2 linked regions of the Rattus norvegicus genome follow. The protein of the gene in region 2 interacts with the protein of the main gene of each other region in a pairwise test. Links are inferred from orthologs where the notes say so. Each region holds a gene or a part of one and is shown on either strand. Other genes may lie near its edges. The genes, in order: Aggf1 and Mab21l3.

Region 1 (3,819 bases), about 160 Mb from region 2:
TTTTAAATTGACTTGTTCTCTCGCTTTACAGGGTTCTGTAAGCTCTAGATCACTGTGAATCCAGACCTGTAACATTCTAGTTTCTTATCCAGTACATGAGCTGCAAGTGTAATTCCTGGCTTATGGCTTCCTTCATATTCTCTGAAGTGTCTCTGGGTAAGCAAAATCTTACACTTTGACAGAGCATAGCTTGTCAACTTATTCTCATGCATTGTGACTTTGGTGTTAAATACCTCAGAAAATTTGCCTAAACTTGTGTGTGCATAAGCACAGAGTCAGAGGAATGGGATGGTTTTCTCTAACTGCCCGCCACCTTAGTTTCTGAGGTGGGTTAACTGATTCAAATGGACTGGCCGGCTAGCAAGACCCTTCTAGCCTCTGGAGTGGGGTTACAACAGGCACGGCACACTGGCTTTCAGTCAGGTGTGGGATCTGAACTCAGACCCACACGCATACTAGATTTTCTTTTCTTTTTTTTTTCTTTTCTTTTTTTCAGAGCTGGGGACTGAACCCAGGCCTTGTGCTTGCTAGGCAAGCGCTCTACCACTGAGCTAAATCCCCAACCCCGCATACTATATTTTCAACCCCAACTTCAGAAGTTAAGTTATAAACACCAGAACTATAGAAATACATAAGTAATCGTGGTAAATAAAAATATACGCAGCGTGCTCAGTACACTGAGTAGATGAGAGAATATTGAGCACCTTACCTGCAAACCATACTTTACTCGTATTTTCTTTAGTGCCTTTCTTCTTTCCAACTCTTTTTCTTCCTTACTTAATGCTGGACCAACTAAAAGGAAAAACTGAGTTTGAATATGACAGACTTACAGGAAATTAGTACTTACTAAAAAAATAGTTTATCTTAGTATATTAACCAATTCAAACCATTTTACTGCAACTGTCATCATCTCACTTTTCATTATAGTAGAAAAGATTCCATAGTGTGTCTACATGCTATATCATCACTATCCACTCATCAGCAAGTAGAAAGCATTATGCTGAGGTATCTAAGCCAGACCCAGGGAGGCAAAATGTCATATTCTTACACTTCACATATGCTATGTGGAAAAAGTAGATTGGTGCATTTAACATGCAGTGTCTGCAGGACCTGGAAGGCGGGACAAGCCCATGAGAGGGAGGAGGGGAAGCAGAGCTTATGTAATAATATGGGGCTAAACACGTATGTGGAAGTGAGGGAGGAAGGGGTGGGGAGTCGGGTAAAGGAGAACTAAGGATTGTGAAAACCCCTTCTGGAAACACACGTTTTGAGAGTCAATTTAAAAACAGTTTCTACAAAGCACTTTGGCTAGAGGTGGCCTGCACGTGTGGACAGTTCCGAATGTGTCAGTTACCACCCTTCAGTACCACACACTGGGGCACATACAATGCACCTTGTCTACAACGAGCAGGCCAACTAGGCACATGCGGTGAGACGTGAGGGGGCGAAGGGGGCTCACTGGTACAGAGGGGCCACTACTCATCCCAGACACTTAGCGATCAGTCTCCACACTTGCCTCACATACCCAAAGGCTCATCTTTTTTATCAAGGCGAAGGTGAGCTCTGACCTGCCCCGGTTCACAGCCATCGCAAGTCTCACTGCCAGGGTGAATGTGAAAAGACAGCACAGTCTCCCCGATTTTTACTTCATCACCGTGTTCAAGGATGTAAGGATCGCATTTAGTTTTTGGCTGGATGAGAAATTTTTAATGAAAGAGAAATACAAAATAGTCACATGGTTACATTATGTCTATGGTAGAGAAACGTTCAGAAAAGGAGACCCATGCACACTTCCACAACTTGATGGACACACAGACCCTGCAAAAGACTCCCAGGACCATGACTTAGCACAGGAAGAGCATGCACTTACCACGAACCAAACTCTGGGCCCCACCCACTATCCCTTACAGTATTCCCGAAAAGCTACTTCTAATTCTATCTTATCAAAGTCTACCAGTCCACTCCAGACTTCAATCTATTAGCAAAACACACAATCAGAGGAATGTTCTATGTTAAGAACTGATTCCTCTTGTAAAAGAAATTTGCTCTGTGTGTGTGTGTGTGTGTTTGTGTGTGTGTGTGTGTGTGTGTGTGTGTGTGTGTGTGTGTGTGAACATAAGTTGTTACATGGGCCCTGGGATCAGAACTTTGATTCTAATGATACCATGGTAAATACTCTTAACCACTAAGTCACCTCTTAGCTTTTCTTACAATTTCTTTCTTTCATTCTTAAAGCATAAGAACAAGGCATCCTGGGTGGTTTTTATTATCAACACGACAGAATCTAGACCCACTTATGGTCCTGAGCACACCATGGGAGTACATGTAGTTAATGATGACCTCTGGGCATGCCAGTGAGGCATCATCTAGAGTAGGTTAACTCAAGTGACAAGATCTACCATACTGTGGGTAGCCTCATGCCATGGGCTGGGGTCCTAGCTGGAACAAACAGGAGAAACTGAGCTTACTGCTAGCATTTTCTCCCTTTGCTTCCTGAAGTCTGACATAATATGACCACCTGCTTCACCATCATGGACGACTCTTTTCCTTTCCTAAGTTGATTTGTCAGGGTACTTTGGTTTTCAGAAAAGTCCTAGTTTAGCATTATTTTTACTAAGACAAAAAAACAAAAAACAAACAAACAAAAAAACAAAAAAAAGGTTAGAGCTGGCTGTCCAGCAGTGTCAGAGGGAGAGTCGCAGCAGCACACAGGGAAAAGGAGGGCCACCAAAGCTACTTCTGTGAATATTCAGTCCTGGGTCAGTGAAATGGCTCAGCACAGAGAAGTGACTACACGAAGCTGTCTTCCACATGTAGAGGTCACACACACAAATATTTAAACTAGATAAGCTTTATGATAGTCATCCCTGAAGTAGCAATAGAGGTATAATTAGAAGTCAAAACTCCAGACCAATATCTACTAAAAATCTTTTTCCAGCCCTTTCTGGAAAATTCCAACCAAGTTATAAATTTGTGCTTGAACCTGATCTGGACCAGATGCTATCTGTAATGACTAGGACCTAAGCTCAGACAAGGAAGTGCAAGCGACTACTACATATCAACTTACCTGAAGAATCTGTTTCCCGTTGACAATGGTACCATTCTGGCTGCCCTGATCCACAAGAACGTAGCTCTGCAAGTCATGGTCAAAGTAAACTTCTGCATGGAACTTAAAGGAAAGCAACCAAGCAATTACAAAACGTTTTCAGCCCAGAGCTAACTTCACTATTATGCAATGGTGTATACACTGGTCTCTGACAACTCCACCGATCTCTCTTCATGCTCTGTACTGAATACAAAGTATCACAACTTTCTGGTGGAAATAAGGAGGCTACGCTTCAAATTCTTCCACCTCTAACTGTGATGAAAGTGTGTATATCCTGCCTCTTCCACTTTTAAAACATATGTAAGATTGGACTGTACGTAGGACTTGATTTCTCCCCCAACATTAAGTACTATCACTGTCTATTTAAAATCATCTCAATTCTCAATGCACACTGACTTGAAACACTCGAATGCTCAGGGAAGCAAGTCCTCCAGAGTTGCAGACACAGGACTGAGCCTCCCTTACTGCAGAGCACGTTATTCATAAACGGCAGCTCTGCTAACAGGCTCAGCAAACGCCACAGTTTGTCCAAGTACTGGGTACGCCGCACTTCACTCATCCATTACAGAATGACCCCACATTCAAGCCTTTAAAACCGGACATCTAGGCGTCCTAGGTGTTACTATCTTTAAGAATTTGCCACGGTCAGGCTGGAGAGATGGTTCAGTGGTTAAGAGCGCTGGCTGTTTTTCCAGAGGACCAGAGTTTGATCC
Region 2 (3,819 bases):
TATAAATGTTAAAAATTCCAGCAGATGCCAGGCACAGTGTGGCTGGTGCGTGCCTGTAATCCCAGCACTGGGAAGGCTGAGGCAGGAGAATTACTACAAGTTTGAAGCCATCCAGGGTTACATAGTGAGAACCTATCTTATAAAATTAAATATTTGGGGCCAGAGAGATGCACAGTTAAGAGCAGGGGCCGCACTTGCAGAAGACCCGAGTTCAGTTCCCAGCACCCACCTCAGGTGACTCACGTCCACTTTAACTCCAGCTCCAGAGGATCTGATGCCCTCTGCTGGCCTCCATGGGTACCTGCATGCGTGTGTACGTAATACACACATCATATAATTACAAATAAATCTGAAGGAAAACAACAATGACAAAGAATCCCAACAACAATAGGAGCATTAAAATTCCGAGCAGATTAACAGCTATCAGAAGTCTGAGCAGGGTGGCCCTGTGGGGTTGGGTGGGTCGGGTGAGATGGGCTTTCTCCTGTTCTTGGGAGCATTTCACTTTTAAAGGACAACTTGTCCATTATTTATCTTTATGAAGTGCTTACCTGGCCATTCAACAAATAAGCTTTTGCAAACACACAAAGAACTGTGACCAAGGAGATCCTCTGCTCTAGGTTTGAAAACGGTAACCAACTAGGAAAAAAGAAATCTAACTATCCAAGAAAACTGGTCCAGTCCATGATGGCACCTGTGCCTGGCAGACTGCATGCAGCCCCTGCCAAGCAAGACACACGCGAGCACGCACATCTTATGAAAAATTACACAAGCTACAGAACTCGGTGTCAGATGATACATTTGTAAATGTTTGTCTGAACAGAATAGCTCTGAAAGTCCCCCATCCTGGTCATATCTCATGGGTGCTATAGAAGGCGCTTGTGTGGATATTTAATTCTGTGGCAACCTGAGACTGGGATAACATGCAGCTTAGCTGGTGGAATATTTGCCTGGCATGGACAACACCTGGGATTCGATCACCGGCACTGCGTACATCTGTCACGTTGGTGCACCTCTGATCACTGCACTCTGGGAGGTGGAGAGAGGGAGGGTCAGAAATTCAAAGCCATCTGTTTGCTGCATAGAAAATTCAAGGCCAGCCTGGGATACTGGAGACCTTGTTAAAATTAAAAAAAAAAAACAAAAAACAAAAAAAAAAAGAGGAGGAGAAGGAGGAAGGAAAGAAGGAAGGGAGGGAGGAAGGAAAGAAGGAAGGGAGAGAAGAGAAAGAGTTCTTTTCTGAAGCTGCCTGAGGGTCATGCACTAGAGCCACACACATCTGCAGAAGCAGAGAGTAGTCCAGGCAGCCCAGCTCCAGGTTCAATGCTAACCTTCAGAGATGCTCCACTAGTGAAAGTTGGGATGGGAGTGGCAAGCAGGGCCAGGCCAGTGTGGCACTTTCAGTGACTAAAGCTGAAGCCACACTCCTTATCCATGCCTTGTTGGGGCCTCTCTGGTGAGATGTAGACCATGGGCCATTTATCACACCTAGCTCAGGACAGCTTGCTTTCCCCAGAACAGTCAAACACAGTTTACAGCTTCCTTTCCCCTAAGAAGGAAAGACTGAAATGACAGACCTTAGTTCAAGATACCCACCCTTATCTGTAACAAAGCCAAAAAAGAAAAAGTCCAAATCACCCATGTGTTGGGGCTGGAGAGATGCTCAGTGGTTAGAAGCACTTGCTGCTCTTGTAGAGGACCTGGGATCAGTCCCCAGGATCCAGTCTGTTATCTCTAGTTCCAAGGGATCTGATACTTTCTTCAGGCCTCTGCAGGCTGCTACATGTATGTAGTGCACAGAAACTTGTGCAGGCGCACAAATACACATAGATTAAAATAAAATAAAAATCCATTGTTTTGAAAAGAGAACCCCTGGCAATGAGGTCAGGCTGGCTCATGAGCTGGAAAACTCACCACACATTTCTTCTTCTGTGCCTGCTTGGAAAATGAAATAACGGAAACTCCCTTCCATTCACCTGGCCCCTTCCAGCTGTGACCCCTCCCACCCACCTGGCCCCTTCCAGCTGTGACCCCCTCCCACCCACCTGGCCCCTTCCAGCTGTGACCCCTCCTACCCACCTGGCCCCTTCCAGCTGTGACCCCTCCCACTCACCTGGCCCCTTCCAGCTGTGACCCCTCCCACCCACCTGGCCCCTTCCAGCTGTGACCCCTCCCACCCACCTGGCCCCTTCCAGCTGTGACCCCTCCCACTCACCTGGCCCCTTCCAGCTGTGACCCCTCCCACTCACCTGGCCCCTTCCAGCTGTGACCCCTCCCACCCACCTGGCCCCTTCCAGCTGTGACCCCTCCCACTCACCTGGCCCCTTCCAGCTGTGACCCCTCCCACTCACCTGGCCCCTTCCAGCTGTGACCCCTCCCACTCACCTGGCTCCTTCCAGCTGTGACCCCTCCCACTCACCTGACCCTTCCAGCTGTGACCAAGAGACTGATTCAAATGAAAAGCAGGTTAGTAGGACTCCCCTGGAAGGCACCCAGGGAAGGGTGGGGTCAGTGCCAACCTTCCTGACATGAGATCGAAGTCCTTACCCTCACCTGCACAGGGATCCCTGCTAAACCAGCACTGAGACAGAAATGTTAGATTCCATCTCACAATAACCAGTACGCTTCTTTTCCATCTTATTCTCTGACCTTCCTTCATTGAACTTTCTGAAAAGAACCTATCTATCAATTTGAATGGAAACCTGCTGGGTTATAACCCAGAGGTATTGTGATCAGCGTTGAGGCCCTAGGTTCAGTCTCCCCCGACACTCACATATGCATGCATACATGATCTCCAGCATAACACAAAACACGTGCGTGTGCACACGCACACACCCCAAAATAATATGTGCTTCAAAGCTTTGGAGTTGTGGGGAGAAAAGGCAAAGACCCACCCGCATGAGCCTTCCTTGTGACACTGTGATGGGGCAGACTGTCTGGTGTCTACAGAACTGACACTGACAGTCGCACTGACAGCTCCCAGAGCATTTGCTCACTGCTTCCGGCCCTGCTGCTTGTGCAGAGCAAGGCTTTCTCTTCTCAAGTGTCCCTCTGGTTCTCTCCCATCAGGCAAAGTCACTGTGCTAGAAAAACGCACTACTGTTTGGGTTGCTGTGGAAACGTCCACAGGCCAGGTAGAACTGGAGCTGGCCCCCACTGTGGAGATCCCCACCACCTGGCCTGAGAAAGCCCAGTGGCCTCGGTGTCTGAAGCGGTGGCCTTCCCCAGAGAGAGTGGAGTGCATCAAGGTATGGGTGAGCAGATGGGGTTCATTTGGTAGAGTGCCATGAGCTTTGCCAATAACATTGAGCACATTACTGAGCATGTAGTGTCCTAGGGAAGCAGGGGGTTCCTTAGAGTTGCTGTTCTAATTCACATGTCCCCCTCCCACCATGGCAGCACTGACTGAGCTTGTCAGAAATGCAGGTTTCTTATCAGAAACCCATAGGCGAAAGCTGGTAAGTCCTCTAGGGCTCTGACATTGGTAGAAACAACTGCCATCAAGGGGTCTGAGCCACCCCTGCTCCCTGAGTGTACCAAGATGCTTTGCATTCTCCCATGATGCCTTTAGGCCTCAGTGTTTTGGCATCCACATTTGAGTGAGAATAGTCAGTGTGTGTTTGTCTTTTTCTAGCTTATTACATTATGCATATTATACTCCAATCCCATCCTTGCCCCTGTGAATGACTGAATTTGATTCTTTTTATTGGCTGAATAATATTCCATCGTATAGACATACCACAAGATGTGGGCAATGGGTCCCTCCAGCTGTCTGAGCTGTTCTCCACGTGAGCCAGCTTCCTGTGTCTCACTTCCTAT

What was found.
Region 1: the proteins of Mab21l3 (region 2) and Aggf1 interact in binary tests that used the Homo sapiens proteins (3 or more experiments, as listed by UniProt). The two-hybrid records come from large-scale screens. The link is inferred for Rattus norvegicus from reciprocal best matches to the Homo sapiens genes MAB21L3 and AGGF1.

What each region holds. Positions count from the first base shown.
Region 1 is NC_086020.1:28,359,970-28,363,788, forward strand, and holds part of Aggf1 (angiogenic factor with G patch and FHA domains 1), read right to left. Parts: intron 3,170-3,819; coding exon 3,068-3,169; intron 1,692-3,067; coding exon 1,526-1,691; intron 793-1,525; coding exon 710-792; intron 1-709. UniProt on the Homo sapiens protein: Promotes angiogenesis and the proliferation of endothelial cells. Able to bind to endothelial cells and promote cell proliferation, suggesting that it may act in an autocrine fashion.
Region 2 is NC_086020.1:191,943,197-191,947,015, reverse strand, and holds part of Mab21l3 (protein mab-21-like 3), read left to right. Parts: intron 1-3,069; coding exon 3,070-3,248; intron 3,249-3,819.